4 linked regions of the Neodiprion lecontei genome follow. The protein of the gene in region 1 binds, or shares a complex with, the protein of each later gene. Links are inferred from orthologs where the notes say so. Each region holds a gene or a part of one and is shown on either strand. Other genes may lie near its edges. The genes, in order: mediator of RNA polymerase II transcription subunit 23, mediator of RNA polymerase II transcription subunit 4, mediator of RNA polymerase II transcription subunit 18 and mediator of RNA polymerase II transcription subunit 19.

Region 1 (4,630 bases):
AATTTAATTTGAGGCTCTATTAAACGTGGAAATGTAAGTATTTGTTAAAATTATTAAGATAACCTTGTTTTTCTTGTCTTTTTTTTTGGCGGTCTTAGACTTCTTAGATTTTTTCCAATCTCCCTTTCCCCTGCGAATAAAAATACACGATGAGTACTATCGTCAAGTTTTAGATTGAGTTTTTTCGTGACAGATGAAGTCACCGCTGTAAATGTTGGGTAAACAAACGTAACGGTTTGAGAGGTTATACCTTTGAATGTCCGCTATATTCCTGAACAGCTCGTGAAAGTATTTGGCATAGTTGTCAGGCTCGGGTAAGAATTTGTCGACATCACCAGACACCATGGTTTAGTAATGATAAATCCGATTAAATAAACTACCGCAAAAATCACTTGGTCACTTCATTTTGGTTATGTTATTGATCGTTGACACTTTTCCCATGTGATCACACTTATTTATAAATTTCTCTAATTATCCAGATAGGAGAAAACATTTTCACAATTTGAACAAACTTGATTAATGTTATCAGATTACGAAAAATTAAAAACTAACGATTACTTAATATCAATTTATCAATTATATCATTAAATTACAGTTCTCATTCCCCCAATTCGCTTAACCGTACAGCTGCAACGTTTATCGTGCTTGAAAGTTGAAAACACAGATATGAGATTTCCGTACATCGATATCTCGAATTGCGATTGAAGTTGACTGCAATGCAGATCGATTCCACTGCCTATCGAATTTTTACCGTCGCGAAACACCGCATTTGAATGGTTCGACGCCAGAATTACATCGCAAAGTGTGGATATGTACTGCAAAAGAAATTGTTCATAGTAGAATGACAATGAAAATACCAAATCCTGTCACAAAACAAGTCTTTCGATGCACCAACGGTTTGAAAATGATTTTCAGACTCAATAAAACTCATTTTTCCAGTCAACGTTTATATTCTCAACTGCAATTAAGTTTGCTGCTAATCAGAATGCAAATTACTTATCTCAAGCATATATTTCAGCTTGAAAACAAAGGTGGCGTTGAAACATCTAATTCAAAATTTCATCAAATATCACATTGATCAGAATAATTTCTTGAAATAATCTTTTTTCTACCGATGGTTAATGGTATAATTGTCCCAAATTACCTTCACAGTTAACTTTTGCACATTACTCAATATTTTTCAATTAATATGCCATCTTTCCTCTGTTTTTATGAAAATTCGCTAAACAATGCACTGCGATAACAGCATGAGATCGTTAATTAATAACTTCTTTCAGCTACACTCGAACCGTTCCTAGACATGTTACAATTAGATAAGAAATCTCACTGGCTCGCTCGCTCGAACTCGAAGCCGCAAAAACCACGTCGAAAGCGGAAACATCGGGAAATAAAACTACGCGAGGCGAAGCAATTTTTATAGACAGCAGTAAATTAGATCCAATCGCTGCAATTCTCGGACGATAATGCCGCTGGAGTTCCCCGAGTTAGCGCCACTCGCGTGGTTTCCCGGCTCTCCCCTCCTTCCAGTGCCTCCTTCAGTCAGTTTTCACTCGTATTTGCCCCAGACTTTTATCCCCACCTCGACCATACTGCACCACACCTCATTAAACTGCTGAATGAAGCCGTAGAATAATCTGTTTACACCGTACGAGGTTAGGTCGATGATTTTTTTTTTTTAACAAGTTTGTTTTGCATCCGACGCATGCATATATCTAAGTGATTTGACAGAGAGATTTGACGTAGAACAGCGACTTGTAAATATTCGCTATTTAAAAATGAGTAACGAGGCGCAAATATCGAACATCGTCAATGACATTCTTGTAAGTGAATTTTTAGGTTTGACATTACTTCAATAGTTTTCCCACATTTTCAATAAGTTTTATCTCCTTACTCGCGATATTCTCACTCAGCACTGCACTTCTGCATTTTGCACTATTTGTCGAAGGTACGACTTGTTTTTCCATCAAACAATTAATTGCTATGCATTTTTATTACACGCAGAGAGTGGAACCTATCGAAGAAGCATTCAGCTGTTTTCTCGTTCACCATCTGGATAATGAAATTGAAAAAATAGCAGGATTGCAGTCAGAATTAACATCTGCTATGACAGGTCTCAATACTGAACAACAAGAGAATGGCGTTAGACAATTTCTTAACATGGCTGCTGCGCTGACGAATCATAGTCGCTTACAACTTCTTCTGTCGTTACTGGAGAACTTGGTCATGAGTAACGTATTACCTGCAAGGTACGAAGCTACGGGAGACGCAAGAAAATTAACAATTAATAAATTCATTATCATCATTTAACGACTTTCCAGATTGGTTTGCGAATGTATCCTCAGCTGTGATAAGCTGCAGTATCAGCAAGAGGATTTTTGGGTCGAGTCTTTTAACCTCATCAGACGGATCATTGGAGGAGTGGATTACAAAGGTGTCAGAGAAATAATGAAGGCGGGTGGTCATTTCTATGCTATCATATATCGTGGAATAAATATTACACGATTGAAATCATAGCTGAAAAATGACTATACTCATAAATTTTTCCATGATCTTTCACAGGGCTGCAGAGAAAAGGCACAAACGATACCAGCAAGACTTAACGCATCTGTACAGCCGCAATTAAAGGCGCTGGAAAATGTTATCGAATATATATTTGACAGAAATGCATGTCTATTGCCTGGCTATTTTATTGTTAATGAAATACAGAAGGCCTATCCCGATAATAAGAATTGGCCGCATTGGGTGAGTTCAAAAAATCTCAAGCTAATGCTTGACAATGTTCACGATTTAGAATCGCAAGTGCTTTTCTATTTTGCTTACCAAATGAAAATAATGTATTATTTCTTAAATAGAAATTAGCAAAACTGCTCTCTGGGTTTGTCGAGAGTTTCAGAGCCACTGCGCAAATGGTGTCTATAATCGGGCACTCAAAAATGCTACCCGTAGTAGAGCACTCTGGATATGCGGACCATGTCATCAACCCATGGAGGCTCGATCCTACGACCCTTAAATTCTCCCTCAAAGGCAATTTACCCTACGATCAAGATTTGCTAAAACCTCAAACCGAACTTTTAAGATATGTCTTGGAACAACCGTACAGCAGAGATATGGTTTGCTCCATGCTAGGCCTCCAGAAACAGGTTCGATGAATGAATTAATCAATTCATTATCAGGTGTAATATATTCAAATTCAGTCAGGCGAAGAATATTTTTGATTGAATAAAAACGTAATATACGTCACACGATCAATGGCATTGGTAACTAATTTCGGTAAAAATTTATGTAAATCTAGCACAAACAGAGGTGCGTAGCATTGGAGGAACAACTGGTTGAATTGGTACTTCTGGCTATGGAGCGATCCGAAAATGATCCACCACCCACTGAGGGAACAGATATTACTGTTGCGAATCATTGGCTGTGGCTACACCTTTCTTCTCAACTTATATACTTCGTACTTTTTCAATTTGCTTGTTTTCCCAACATTGTGATGGCCATACATGACAAGGTAAAACAGAAGCTATGTTACTTGTTATATTTCTCCTTACTGTGACTCTCATTTGACCACCTTTTCAGCTAGCTGGTCGAGAATTGCGAAAGGGGCGTGATCATCTGATGTGGGTCCTATTGCAGTTTATATCTGGGAGTATTCAGCGTAATCCGGTAAGGATTAAAATAATTTTCTCAAATCTGCGCATCTGAAAAAACAAAATTACTTCATTGTAGCTTTGGAATATTTGCATACGATACATCACTTTCTTTTTCTATTCCAGCTGTCTAACTTTCTGCCAGTACTTAAACTGTATGACCTATTATACCCCGAAAAGGAACCACTACCTGTTCCTGATTTCAGTCAGGCATTGTGCACACATCAAATGGCCATCACGTGTATATGGATTCATTTACTTAAAAAAGCGCAATCCGAGCACTTGAACATTCACAGGCCGATCCCACACACGCTAAAAGTTCATCATGAGTATGTGACGTTTTTGGTGCAATTCATCGTATCGTTAATTATTGTATATGTATTCATAAATTCGACAAGTACCTATTTACTGAAATTTTATTTTTCCTTACAGCGGCCATTTCGTATTTATTGAATTAAATTTTTACACTCTCTTTATAGATTTCTACAACATTTAGTTATGCCAAATACATCATTGTGTATGGGATCTGATTATCGCATCGCTTTACTGTGCAATGCTTATTCAACGAATCAAGAATACTTCAGTAGACCTATGGCTGCACTTGTCGATACAATTCTTGGCACACAGAAGGTGATTTTTGAGCAAATAGGACATTAAACTGAAAAAAATTTATAACTATGTGTACTTGTGAAATGAAAATTTATTATTATAATTTTCAGGGACAACAGCAGCAACCCTTACAGCCACTACAGAGCAATGCTGCTCTTGCAAATGGACCAACAACGCCATTGTCTATGTCCATTCTTGATTCTCTTACTGTACATTCTAAAATGAGTCTGATTCACAGTATTGTTACACACGTTATCAAACTAGCTCAATCTAAAAGCAACATGGCTCTTGCTCCTGCCCTTGTCGAGACCTACAGCAGATTGCTGGTGTACACTGAAATAGAAAGCCTCGGAATCAAAGGCTTCATAAGTGAGTAA
Region 2 (3,985 bases), on another chromosome or scaffold:
ATATGCAACTCCCATTCAAGACTTACCAATAACAGTCCCTTGTTAAATTTTCTTGCATCAAATTGCACGTTTTCATATGCAAACGACAAGTTGAATAGTTTACAATCTGCTGAAAGTTTCTCAACATCTCTATACATCAATATTTCTTGTAATTTTAGACCAGGAAACGTTAAGAGCTTACTGTTATATGCTGCGCTCATTATTTGAAACGTGTCCCTAAAAACAGATCATATTAACCTGATCTGTTTGGTACAATTTGTAATCTCATTAAGCACTGAAGCACAAGTACCTTCTCAAAAGCCGCAAATTACTTAGAACACCGAATTTTAACAAAAGTGGAAGTTTTTGTATCAGTCTTAAGGTTCGGACATAATTTTTCAAAAACCACGCAAGAGATATCTTCATGGCCAGCTTTACGTTCTTGCCCCTGCACATATAATAGTTCCATATAATCCAGAAGTAGCATTGTATCATCTTAGTAATTACAATCTTGTAATTCACCTGTACTTATGAGGAAGCGATATGCCTCTTCCTAGAGCCGAGGAATCACCGAGATGTAACAGCATATACAAAGCTTCCATTTGAGGTCGGTTATTACCTATTGAAAGTCTTTCGATATTTTCTTCAAAATTAGGATTACACATCGAGGATTGTTCTTCAAGTTCATCATAAAGTACTAGCAGTTGTTTAAGACACTCTAGAAGGTGCTGACTATTTATCTTCGTATCAAATACAGATATGTTTTTTTCACATAGTCTGAAAACTAATTTTATTACAATTAACTGGCAAGAAAGTATTCGTCTCTTTACCTTTGGCCTGCGTAAACATGAAATCGAACAATTGGCTCTAGGATTTGAACACTTTGAGGTCCTCGTATTCTTTGAATAACAACTTCCTGTCTGATAGCTCTCAGTCGATCAAATACAAAATCATAAATCATTACCCAGTCATAATCGACTCGCGTAACAACACTGCAAAAAAATTTGTTATATAGCATGCGCGAGCTATGAATTTATGAAAATCCTTGTCAGATGGCTTACTTAGTGAACAAATATCTTATAGTCGATAAAAGAACAGAAGCCGGTCGAAGTTCGCTTGTATCTGGCATGAGCTGTCCGGCTGCAGGTCGACTGAAGCATTTCACAATCTTTGAAGGATCTGCTTTTGGTCGTTTTAGATGTTTTGTTTTCTCGTCAACTTCGAAGGTATGCAGTAAGCCTTCTCTTTCTCTCCTGAGTAAGAATCAGTTGAATATCCACAAATTTTGATACATAAATTAATAAAAATAACTGAAGTGAGGTTTCCCTCTGGTCTTCTTCACTGATGCCGGAATAAAAATATTCAAATATACACACAACTTACATCCATCTCTCTTTCTCAGGGCACATAAATAAACACGTCCCAACTATAAAGTCAGACATCACTGTTTAGTTACACGCTCTCTAAATAAACAAGGAGATACGATCGATAATTTTAGACTAACTTAACCGAACGAACCGAACTAAACTGACGTTTCGACTGACAACAATCGCACGAATGAAGTGATCGGCTGGATGCTGGCGGCACGATGTAACTTTGTCACGTGACCACCCATGTGATCTACGCTACGATGTATACAAGTACTATCATTGGTACTACTAGTCAGGTGCATCCATTCAGCAATAGCTGTGTCATGTTAGGTTAGGTACTCAACTAATCGAATTACAGGATAGCACGACTCTCCCAATGAGAGCTTCGGCTGCTGGGACTGCCGCTTACTCACTGTTGGATGTGTGTATCGACACAGGTTACGTTTCCCAAGCGTAGCACAGCGAGTAGCGGGTTTAAAGATAAACAATGACTGGAAAGTGATAATTGTATTGTATACAAAATCTGGAACGACATAAAGGTGTAAAATGGCATCAAATCGCAGCACACGTGAAGTATTATTATCCCTTGTCGATGACATGGAATTAATAGCCAAGTAAGTATTTTCACCAGTGCTAAAAAGAGTCCGAGATTTCATACGTCGAATAAAATGGTCGGAAAAATTAAAGTAAAACGCAAAGTACGCTCGTCGTTATGTCAATTATTCACAGACCTCAAATTTCATACCTGTATTTTTATTCTCTGCAGAGAACTGATCGAGAATACGATAGCGCAGAAGCATTTGAAACTATCCAGCAGCGAGCACGCTCAACTGACAGAGTTATTAGTTGCCAAAGACAATGAGCTCAAGTCAACTTTACAACTGGCATCGGAACAGGCAAAAATAAACCAGAAAATGGATTCGTTAAAGGAAGAGGTTGAGAGGCAGGATCAAGACATTCAACAATTACAACGTCAGTTGAAAGAAGCAGAGCAAATACTTGCCACTGCTATATACCAGGCTAAACAAAAACTCCAGTCCATATCTCGGGCCAATAAAAGGCCTGTTCCTTCTGAAGAACTCATTAAATTTGCTCATAGGATTAGCGCATCTAATGCTGTTTGTGCTCCGTTAACGTGGCAGCAAGGCGATCCACGCCGACCGTATCCAACAGGTGAATACGATAGATTTATGCAGTAATGTTCCAAATGCTTATTTCAAATAATAAACTTTACACAGAAACATTTTTCTTGCTCATCAGATTATCAATCTTACACTTTTGGAATTACCTCTTTGGTTGAGTCGAATAACTTCAAAAATATTTCACAGCGATATCATTTCCCTTTCTCTTAGTGTATGTTAATTATTTCATGCCTCCTAGATATTGAGATGAGGCTGGGCGTTCTGGGGCGACTCAGCGATCTTCCACTGAACGGACAAATGATCGGATCTCATCCCGGCATTCCAGCCGAATTGCATCGAGCTGGACATCCAGCAGGTGGTGAGAATACATTAGTAGCTTATTCGATTTATCATTACTCTTCTATGCGATTCAATTCCAAATCATTTGGAGAAGTTATCCAATATATTGTTTGCTACTGGTTAGTCTTATCAAAAGAATATCGCCATTGACTTTGAAAATATACTGGAGAAGATATTTCAATGAAAAAAAAAGTTCATCTACTCAAAGTCATCGCAGCGATTTCTTGAAAGTAACTCAAAATAAATCATTTCAGAGCCTCCAGTATCTCAGGCGAATCAATTTGCCTGGCACCCGTCAGGAGAAATCCACATGTCCGTAGGTGGACAAGGTAGCGTAGCAATGAATACTCATAAACAAGAAACGGAAGACGTTGAAGTAATGTCAACAGATTCATCCAGCAGTTCCTCGAGTGATTCTCAATGAACAGTAAATATTTCATTCTTCATACCCAACTCACGAATGAAAACATTTATGATAAGGAAAAAGGTTTGAATGTTTTAATATGATTTTCAAACCATATTAATCATTGTAATCATTCTTAAGTATAACTCGACGAAGTATTTCTCATATACTTTATAAGAACAGGAATCTTAATTTAATTGAAACGTTTCTCTTTACTAATTGTACAATTAAATTCAACTGCTTAGTCATATGTATGCTGTTGTATCAATAAGTAAAATAAAATATTTTATTGAAATTAATTCCAGCTTAAACCCATTACTCACCTCTACAAGTTATTTAAAACTCACTTAGTAAAATAAGTCGAAAAAGTTTTTTTTCCAGAGCTGTGGATTATATTCTCTAGAAGTTCATGTTCTTAGTGCACGACTTGATTAATTTTCAAAAAATGTCATTGGAAAAATGTAGACAAATATCTGGGTCATGTTTGTAGGGCAAGTCTGTGTTAGGAATACAATTATTGGGGTATGTAAAGCCTTGAGCTTACTCCTGGCTTATGTGGTACGTAGAAATGAGATCAGCGCTCTCAGCAATTTGTACCAGACTTTAAAAACTGATTCCAGTGAGGCATTCAGAGGTGTATTTACTTTTTATTTTCACTCTGAGGATATCTTTCAAGTAAAGTAGTTAGTCAACCAATTTTGTGAATAATATTTTGTCATCTATTTTCTCAAATGCGTCTGCGTATTGATATA
Region 3 (4,843 bases), on another chromosome or scaffold:
GATCCTTCTCGCACCGAGAAACCTTTCCGTCGAGTTATTACGGCTGTGAGTATATTTTTGAGAAATACCTGTAAGTATGAGAATTGGGTTGTTATTTTTCACTCACATCATGGGTAAAACCGACTGAAGAATAGAATAAACAATGTACTTTCCCGAATCCAGAACATTGCACAATCTGATTACTTCAGTATAGCAAAATACTCGTAGCTATAGCATATTCGTACCTGAGTAGCAGCTATAATTATTTGAGCTGTATTTTCTTCAGCTCCATCCATATTATTCTCCCATGCAGCAAGCATTAGTCTAGCTAAAACGAAGGTACGATCTGGCAGCAAAAGCTCTTGCGCGCTGGAATGATTGGCACCTATAGGTTCGTCTCCAACCAGCGACGAACTTTGGCCCAAGACTTCAACGTAGACATCTGCAGGCTGAAATATGCAGCTTTTATATTCTTAACATAAATTTTCTCAGGTTGTATTTGCTTTTTTTTCATACAAAAATATCTGCTTTCAAATATTTGACACAGCCTTATGGCCACTTTATACATATTTCCAGAGACCAATAATGAATGAATACTTCTATATGTTAGCAATAAAATATCAAATTCCTAACAGATACCCATTTAACACTATAGTGCCTGCTATCGCACATTCACTAATTTGGCAAAATGGCAATTTTTATTTATGAGTTCATGAATTTTAATCAAACATTTTGGAAGAGAGTTACAGGCTCTCTGGTATCCTAAGGTCTTGAAATCATAAGTTCATCGACAGGTAATTAATGGCAAAAATGTTTAAAACTAAATTTTTACAAAATTTTAACTGAAATATGTATAGCAGTTTTAAAAAATAATATTCTTCAACTGAATCCGAGTACTGGCACTATATGGTTAATCACGGATTTTTTAATATTATTCCAAAACAGCTTCTTACTTCAAAATTTGATTTGTCTGTTTTATATTTTCGTTTCAATCGCAGCCTTTTCTCTAGCATTTTTTCTTTATCAAGATGAGCATTTGTATGATTGTGTTTGTTAGTTCGGACTGTTGTCACAGACGCTAACCCCTGTACTTTGTTGAACAAGCAGAGTAGAAATTCATTGTGCAAATGGACTTGATCCTCAGTCATAATGTTGCGCGCCTCGCAGTCAAATTCTTCTTTAGTTGTCTGAGAAAATCAAATAAGTGTATGATTAAAAAAAAAAAAGTAGCAAAACGATTCTTGGATATCAAGACTCAGGTAAGATATTGGTGTACCTTCATCTGAAACCACAGCTTCATTTTTTCAAAGTACCTGTAACCACAATATGATAATTAAGTATGTGTACACCCAAAGTCCATTGCGATTCCAAGGAAATCAGTAAAGGGTGAATTCAAAGTGACAGATCAGAAAGGTTTTTAACCGCTGTATTAGTATAATCAGTTATTACAGTATCATACCAAGATCAGGTTGTCGCAATATTTACAAAAGGTAATTGAGCTCAAATTGTATACACACATTGCACACATAATGTTGAGTGACATAAAAACAAACTTACAGTTTTGCGTTATCACCTAGCGATGCGACAAGGCTTTTTCTTGCTACGGTCAACTCTTTCGACGATGTCATACCGCAATCGAACCGTTCGAATTTATTTTGTGACAATAAACAGACATCTATTTGCACGCGACTCTTACATTGACATTTCGACACCTAACAACATAAGCGAACTCACTAACACGATCGTATAAAGTTGTTATATTGTTCCTCTTACATCGTGACATTGTTGCGTGCAAACGAGAAAGCAATTTTGTGCAGATTTGTGAACGTTGAGTGCGTCAGATGCGCGCGCATCAAAGTTTAATAAATTTCAATCACAAGGTTGGCGACAATGATTGTTGACAATTTGTTGGGAACAGGGAAAATTGACTGTATGCAGGCTGCAGTGACTTAACCTCGCAAAGAGACCAAATACGACGATCGGACAATGACAATTTACCCCATTCTGTAGCGACAAATCCATTAACATACCGCAGTAGAAAGTATAATTAAATACTCTGCCAAAATGGCAAGTCAAATAAGTACAGCGATGGACAGCTTAAATGCTGCTGTAAAGTCGAATATAATACCAAACCAAGAATACCTTCTGCAAGGTTCGGTTATGGACAGTGCGGTGGAAGTCTTATTGCAAAGATTGAGAGGATTGTGCGATAACGTTGATAGTAGGCCGGAGACTTTTCGTGATCATGAAATGTGTTTCAGTATCAGGAGGTAAATCTCATTCTCTTTTTGCTGGTATACATTGTCGTTATTCACCCAGAGTGCTTAGTACTTCACATTGTTTGCATATTTTCTAGGTTTCAGATGCGGCTTTAAAATTGTAACTTGCCTATTGTGACAATTTATATTTCACGATAATAATATAATGAGCCATTATTTTCTTCCAGCAAAATTTAAAAATTTACTTTGTGTTTTAAAAAAGAAGAGCATTTCAAATATAAATTTTAACCTTTCAGAGGTCCTCCGCCAGAACAACCATTGTCGCTGAGGGTGAGAAGAGCCTTAGATCATCAGGATATGCCTTGGCAGCTACGTTACATCGGACAACCCGAGCTAGGTGACAAGTCTAGACCGACAATAGTGCGAAGCAGTATAGACATTGCAACAAGCAGTACAGTTGTTGAATTCCTCACAGAATTGGGATGTAGAATAGATTTTGAGTATATTGTACAGGGATACATGTTCCGAAAGGGTAGAATGAAAGTAACTGTAGCAAAAATATTTAAAATGGTTCAAGTGAAAATACCGGATAATGTAGAACCCATATCTCAAAGCTACTTGGTCGAATTGAGCGTGCTTGCTCCACGTGGACAAGATGCAATAGCTGAAGACATGAGAATATTCGCCGAACAGTTAAGACCTTTAGTTCAGCTTGAAAAAATTGATTATAAACGACTGAGTCATTAGGGGGTTTAGAATCAGTGTCCATAAATGAATCACTGATGAATAGTTCCTAATATACAATTGGGTACAATGTTGTCTTTTCAGATTTCAGTGTGCGAGAACTATATAGCAGAAATGATAATACATCGTAGTTCTCTTATTGCGAATTTTCAAGAGGAATCTTTATGCAAGTATTATTTCAATATTTCCTACTGCAATGACCCATAGAGATTTTTTATATTGTACTATTGGATATTTACATTTGAATCAGATCCATAAAATTAGAATGAATTTGTAAAGTATTGAACAAAGTCCAATAAAGATCCGACATCGATGCTACAATTAGTCATGTTATGATACAGAAACTACTAATTTTTAACTCTTCGAATGAAGTAAAGTATTTTAAAATAATGAATAAGTACTCGCAACTGAAATTGAACTCAATCTCATTTTTAAATCTCCAACACCTACCGAACTCAATAAATATGAACTCTTGTGATTATTGCAAAAGTGTGATGAGCATGATAAAAGGGATACTAGAAGATACGTGATTTCCTGATAATCTGTTATGATTGTCAAACACCTGCAGCATGTAATTTGAGGGATGGTTGAAAGTTTGTACTATGTCTATGATAAGGCAGGACTATACCAATCATTTGCTCAGGGATGTAGGACTAATGGATGCAGTATGAGATTGGCTGGGCAGCAAAATAACAATGTGAAGAGAGATAATGAGTGTAAGGGTCACTAATTGTAAGCCACATTGGATCGTACCTTTCAACCGGAATTTTAAGGATTAGGTAATGGTACTTGATATCCTTTTAATATTGACTAACCATTTCCTCCCAGTTAGGAAGGCAGAGTGAAAAAAGTACTATGAGGTAGTCTAGCAATTTGTAAATGCTGGAAGGTAAATAAAAAAATTAGTTAGTATTAAATCGTTTAGTAAATAATCCTTAATGGTTAAAGAAAAGAACCGATGCAAAATTCTCGGGCCATTTTAACTAGATTAACTGGGAATGGAGAGTCGAGAGTTGCGTTATTGAAAATGAATCCGTGGATATTGATAACTCAAATGGCTTCGCGTTGTCGATCAGGTAACGATTATGCACCCACATCAATGTTTCGAGTATCAATGTTTTTGATTGATGGGTTTTAAAGTCGATATATCGATAATCGATGGAAAATATTGGACTATCGACATCATTATGTCAGGAATAAATTGAATTTCTGTGCCAACATCTGTCGGTAACTCATCTATAGAACTTTTCTATTAAATTTCTCACTGTTAATTAGAATGTTTCAATAATTTAATTTTATCCAATGTAATTTATATTTAGTTCTCATATTTTATTTTTATTTTGAATAATAATGATAATTCAAAACTTGAAATTTCTGCGTTCATTATTCTGTCTACAATTGTATCTAAAATTTTTGAATTTTTCGCGCTTTTATTCGTCACCGATGATAACAATCGATGTTCCGATGTTTTTAAAAGAACATCGATAGTAGACTGGTAGTAGAATTAAAACAATCGACAATAGGATGTCGCTATTTTATACTAACATCGCCCATCCCTCTGAACTCGTATCGTGTATACAGCAAACTCGGACGTAAATTGTGGATCGAAAATGCGGATGAATAATGGGACGCGATCCATTTTTTCATCCGCGTTTTCGATCCACGATTTACGTCCAAGTTTGCTGTATACGCGATACGAGTTCTGGTAACTTTTTTTCGGTCCGAGAAATCGGTCCGATTTCTAGCACTGTGTAAACACGTCTTTACTGAACTATAAGGAGACAACTCCACGTAAACAAATTCCTGCCTGAAATAAACTGGCACTGGTGTTCTGTAAACACCGAAGACAGTGAAGGGAGTATAACTTTCTATGAATTACATTTCAAGATCGCCGATCGATT
Region 4 (4,537 bases), on another chromosome or scaffold:
GGAGGATGTAATCTGTCTAGGGGAAAATCTACCATTTTTATGATTCCATAAGTAGAGAATATTTCGACAATGTGCTCCTTGGTAACATTGCGTGTCAGCCTTCCAATATGAATTTTTGTCGGCCTTGGTGTTGGAGAACGTTCTCTACGTTTTCGCCGTGGTGAATGCGACCTGAAACAGGTGTTATAAGTTTTTTACTTTGCCTACGAAGCAAACAATATATTCTAACAGACAAATTGTAAAAGCGATAGTTTTACCTAGAACGGGCTTTGGGCTTTGGCTTTTCGGCCACTGCATTACCAGATTTCTTCTTATCTTTGTCTCTTTCCTTTTCTCGTTCTTTCTCTTTATTGTCATGCTTTCTTGAGACATCTGCGCTCTTACTCCGGCTTCTTTTGCGACCCCTGTCTCGGGAGCTTGCTGATGAACTCCCAGAGCTACTAGATGACGAACTAGACGAAGAGCTCGATCTAGAACTGCTGCCACTAGATGAACTTGAAGATGCCGAGCTGCTATCTGATGAACTGCAAAATCAATTAAGTGTAGATCGGTTCAATGTCCGTATAATGAAATTATGTCTGTAGTTGTTTGGAACATACCTCGAACCACTACTTGACGAGGAAGCAGCACGCTTCTTCTTTTCTCGCCCTTTTTCTTTCTTGTTTTCCTTGTCGGTGGCTTCTGAATCGCTCTTACCAGCGCTATCCTTGCGGCTGCGTGCCCTGGGGAAATATTTACATAATAAAAAATCAAATATTTCAATAGAATGTAATTTGTATGGTAGACTGTTCGCGAGTCACACAATAGGGGTTAGAATAAATTCGGACTTCATCATGCCGTCACCGAAGGTTTCATGAATTATCATATTTTGTTGGTATCCGAATTTACATGGGAATCCAAGATAAAAACCACCCTGCCGGTGTTTGTTGCCCACAAAAGGTTGAAATACGTTCCGAAAGCGACACTCTTAGTCACCCTTACCATACGAATAGCAACAGCGTTTAAAAAAAAAAAAAAAGCACGACACAGTTTGCTGACCATGAGCACAAAAACAATTACGGTAAATTTTGAGTCATAAAAGTAGTTTTAAATTTGCAAAATTATTACGTACATGGTTACCGGTAGTTGAACAGGCGATATGTTTTACTATCTATATTTCCTATCATAAAATGGACGTGACGATACGCTGTCCACTTTCCAGTTGTGAGCGAAAAACTCGTGGTTAAGGTATCGCGAACGCGATATCGTGTAGATATCGTAAATTTATGGTCCAGATAACATTAACACCAAAAAGGATAACCACTTTATTTATTATTTAACCCTTCAGTTTTTTTCATGCGCAAGAGTACTCGTATTTATTTCACTATGTAAAAAGCGTCATTTGCCGGCAGAAGAACGAACACACAGCTAAGCTATATGCGGTCACAGTGATGTAGAGTGTATAGAGAGTGAAACACGGTGTGCAGGTCCATTCTGTGTTCCAAAAGTGAGCGTGTACGACTCCCGCTAGTTTCATGCAGGTGTGCACTTCTAGGTTACCTAAATATTCGAAGGCCAGGAATCGTTAATGTTTCCAAATCGCAGTTTCTTGTCTGCGTCGAGTGTGGTTGAGCTCGTTGAGTGAGTTTGTCGCGATTATGGGTGTTATGTATGTCAGTTTTCATCGCGTTATTTATTGTTTTTAAACAATGTGATAAGGTCGCCGAGACTCAGCGGGCGTCCAAGTTCTTCAGCGAGGCTCCGATCCTCGCGTTTTGTCTAGCGAGATTATTAAAATAGCTGACATATGCACTAGACTGTGTAAAGTGTCGTTGATTCTCTGTGTACAGTTGCATCACACGAGGATCATCGCTGCAGTGAAATAACGTCCGGGTGGAGCATCGGCGGAGCGCACAGTTCCCATCGGTCTTTACCCTACTGTTTATTTCGCTGCAGTGCTTGTGCCAAAATAGGAAGATAAAACATTGTTACTGTAGCGAAAGGGCGATGAAGTAAAGCCAGGAGGATGATGATGGGTGATCAGTTTCGTAGTAAAGTGGAACAATACTCACCAAAATCATCACCGAGGGGAGCCCGTTCCCCTGTAGTTTCACGTCAGGACTCGACTGGAACTCTCAAAACGACGATTTCCCTCGGCAAGAACCCCTCAATCGTCCACAGTGGGCCTTTCTACTTAATGAAGGAGCCCCCTGGTGAGATTATCACTTGTCAATTTAAAACCTCGAATAATGCATAACTAAATACACGTTGCCAGTTCTTAGTTCTTTCAAGCTTAATTCAAATGTCATATAAATATTTTCTAGGGCAAAGTGAACTCACGGGGGCTACAAATTTGATGGCCTATTATGGCCTCGAGCATTCCTATAGTAAATTCAGTGGTAAAAAGCTCAAGGAACAACTCTCATCATTTTTGCCAAATTTACCTGGTATCATCGACGCGCCTGGTCACCAAGACAATAGGTACGAACTTGAAACATTATTATTTTGTATTGTAACGCGTTTAAACTATTATTCTCATTAACATATTTCTTTTCTCTTTCAGTTCTCTAAGGTCTGTGATAGACAAGCCTCCAATCTGTGGAAAAGACCTTCTTCCACTCACCAGCGTGCAACTCGCTGGATTTAGACTACATCCCGGACCTGTGAGTTATTTCATTTCGTTATATTTACATGTTTCCGTTAAAGAAACTCATTTTATTGTTGCCCCAAAACTGTCTGATATCCGTTTCTTAATGTTACAGCTCCCAGAGCAGTATCGTTACGTAAATCAGGCACCGCAGCGAAAGCACAAGAATAAGCACAAAAAGCATAAACATAAGCCTGGCGAAACTCTGAGCGGTCAAGAGGCTACTACCACTGATATAGGGGGACCTGATCCCCATGAAAAGAAGCATAAGAAACAAAGGAAGCATGACGAGGAGAAAGAGAGAAAGAAACGGAAGAAAGAGAAAAAACGAAAAAAACAAAAACACAGCCCTGAACATCCCGGAGGTCTCACACCCTCGCAGCATTCCAATACGTGATCTCCATTCTTTCCATTTTTATTCATCTAATCGATTATACATACCCGTGTGGTTCGTACACAAAGTGAAACGAGACGACGAGTTTAATTCATTTATTCAGAAATCATAGAACTGCCCATGTGCCTTGCTCAATTCAACGCAACGTAAGAAATTTAAGCTTTTTCTTAACTAAAGAATATCCCATGTTATTTTTAAACTGCAGCCAATACATGTTAATGTATTGTCGTGCATGCATCAGTTACTGTATAGGCGAAATAAAACCTCATGGCAATTACAGTAATTTTAGATAGGATGTTTATTGGTGAACTCGGCCTGTCTATCACTCTGTTTACTCACACCATTTTAGTCCTGTAATCGGCCAAAGTGTATCCAGGAATTCACGCAGTTCTGTGAAACCTAATTTCATCGTCTCAGTTTCGATAAAAGGCTGTGTGTCCAGTAGTATAGTCTAATGTCTATATAGATTGTTTTGACTATTGAATACTAAACAAAAGAAAAACTCGGTTATGAAAAAAGATTGTTTGTATTCATGACAATTTGTCAATGCCACCAGTTGTTGGAATACCGATACTAGGAATTGAAAATCTATGTGGAACCGTTTCGAATATGTTGATTGGCCACAAGAGGTACTTTGCTAATCATCGATATTTGAGCGAAGTTTCTTGTGCAAACAATTGTTACTTACTACTCTTATAATTTGATATTAAACAAGAGAAAAGTCAATCAGATGAATGATGTGTTCACAAAACAACTAGCTAATTATAAAAGAATGAATTGATTAAGAATATTTATGCCAAGTAGTAAAATAAACGCAAAATTTATTATTCACCAAATTTCAAACGGAAACCAATATTTCATTTAATGTATGGTATAACTAATTTGTAGATTGATCGAAACATGAATTATCCTATGATATTTGTACATATTACCTACAATATAACAAATCCTGTAACATTTAAACCGAATATTTGAATAATTTAACATCTAACAATAAGAAGCAATACCAAAAAATTTAAAGAAGCCTACTGAAAATGAGACTTTTGAAATTTATTTTATCAATATCGCAGGCAAGTATATCAAAATATGTCTGCACTCACTTGCAGTTAGTCAACGCTTGGAAAACCAACGGAATCCCAAGTGTGTGATCAAACTGGAGCAAAATCAATGAAAATCATTAAAAGCTCACCGTTTTAATCCGAAAACTTGAAAGAGAAATACCAAATGCGCAAGATTATCGTGCCGTTGATTATTTCATTTTTTGTACATTCGATCTATTTTTAATTTATTTAACACATTATTGCAACAATTGTATTTTATCATATGTGTTTTATCGTTCCGCGCGTATTTGGTATTGATACCTAATTATCTTTCAAATAAAGTAAGGATAGTTTTCGTACGAAAAGCGTTTTACCCCGAGAACCCTCTCCGCCTGATGCAAGGCTACATAGTCCAGAACTGGAGAGTTAGCGGAAGAGTGAGAGCGAAAGGTATATGTGTCCTTTCGCTCTAGACTC

What was found.
Region 2: mediator of RNA polymerase II transcription subunit 23 (region 1) and mediator of RNA polymerase II transcription subunit 4 share a complex: the UniProt entries of both Drosophila melanogaster proteins name them as parts of the mediator complex. The link is inferred for Neodiprion lecontei from reciprocal best matches to the Drosophila melanogaster genes MED23 and MED4.
Region 3: mediator of RNA polymerase II transcription subunit 23 (region 1) and mediator of RNA polymerase II transcription subunit 18 share a complex: the UniProt entries of both Drosophila melanogaster proteins name them as parts of the mediator complex. The link is inferred for Neodiprion lecontei from reciprocal best matches to the Drosophila melanogaster genes MED23 and MED18.
Region 4: mediator of RNA polymerase II transcription subunit 23 (region 1) and mediator of RNA polymerase II transcription subunit 19 share a complex: the UniProt entries of both Drosophila melanogaster proteins name them as parts of the mediator complex. The link is inferred for Neodiprion lecontei from reciprocal best matches to the Drosophila melanogaster genes MED23 and MED19.

What each region holds. Positions count from the first base shown.
Region 1 is NC_060261.1:4,255,203-4,259,832, reverse strand, and holds the start of mediator of RNA polymerase II transcription subunit 23, read left to right. Parts: upstream 1-1,596; 5' UTR 1,597-1,775; coding exon 1,776-1,820; intron 1,821-2,001; coding exon 2,002-2,246; intron 2,247-2,318; coding exon 2,319-2,451; intron 2,452-2,559; coding exon 2,560-2,742; intron 2,743-2,852; coding exon 2,853-3,140; intron 3,141-3,292; coding exon 3,293-3,505; intron 3,506-3,573; coding exon 3,574-3,660; intron 3,661-3,770; coding exon 3,771-3,973; intron 3,974-4,123; coding exon 4,124-4,274; intron 4,275-4,363; coding exon 4,364-4,622; intron 4,623-4,630. Other genes in the region: E3 ubiquitin-protein ligase MYCBP2, read right to left, coding at 64-130, 251-345. UniProt on the Drosophila melanogaster protein: Component of the Mediator complex, a coactivator involved in the regulated transcription of nearly all RNA polymerase II-dependent genes.
Region 2 is NC_060260.1:6,404,892-6,408,876, reverse strand, and holds mediator of RNA polymerase II transcription subunit 4, read left to right. Parts: upstream 1-1,738; 5' UTR 1,739-1,895; coding exon 1,896-1,963; intron 1,964-2,115; coding exon 2,116-2,522; intron 2,523-2,729; coding exon 2,730-2,849; intron 2,850-3,084; coding exon 3,085-3,254; 3' UTR 3,255-3,484; downstream 3,485-3,985. Other genes in the region: germinal-center associated nuclear protein, read right to left, coding at 27-216, 290-427, 502-756, 810-971, 1,041-1,232, 1,363-1,421. UniProt on the Drosophila melanogaster protein: Component of the Mediator complex, a coactivator involved in the regulated transcription of nearly all RNA polymerase II-dependent genes.
Region 3 is NC_060262.1:34,397,780-34,402,622, forward strand, and holds mediator of RNA polymerase II transcription subunit 18, read left to right. Parts: upstream 1-1,781; 5' UTR 1,782-2,043; coding exon 2,044-2,249; intron 2,250-2,494; coding exon 2,495-2,945; 3' UTR 2,946-4,313; downstream 4,314-4,843. Other genes in the region: transcriptional adapter 1, read right to left, coding at 1-68, 225-428, 933-1,166, 1,256-1,292, 1,537-1,607. UniProt on the Drosophila melanogaster protein: Component of the Mediator complex, a coactivator involved in the regulated transcription of nearly all RNA polymerase II-dependent genes.
Region 4 is NC_060263.1:2,151,255-2,155,791, reverse strand, and holds mediator of RNA polymerase II transcription subunit 19, read left to right. Parts: upstream 1-1,570; 5' UTR 1,571-2,005; coding exon 2,006-2,192; intron 2,193-2,303; coding exon 2,304-2,460; intron 2,461-2,542; coding exon 2,543-2,642; intron 2,643-2,741; coding exon 2,742-3,023; 3' UTR 3,024-3,983; downstream 3,984-4,537. Other genes in the region: RNA-binding protein with serine-rich domain 1-B, read right to left, coding at 1-171, 258-524, 600-722, 1,112-1,113. UniProt on the Drosophila melanogaster protein: Component of the Mediator complex, a coactivator involved in the regulated transcription of nearly all RNA polymerase II-dependent genes.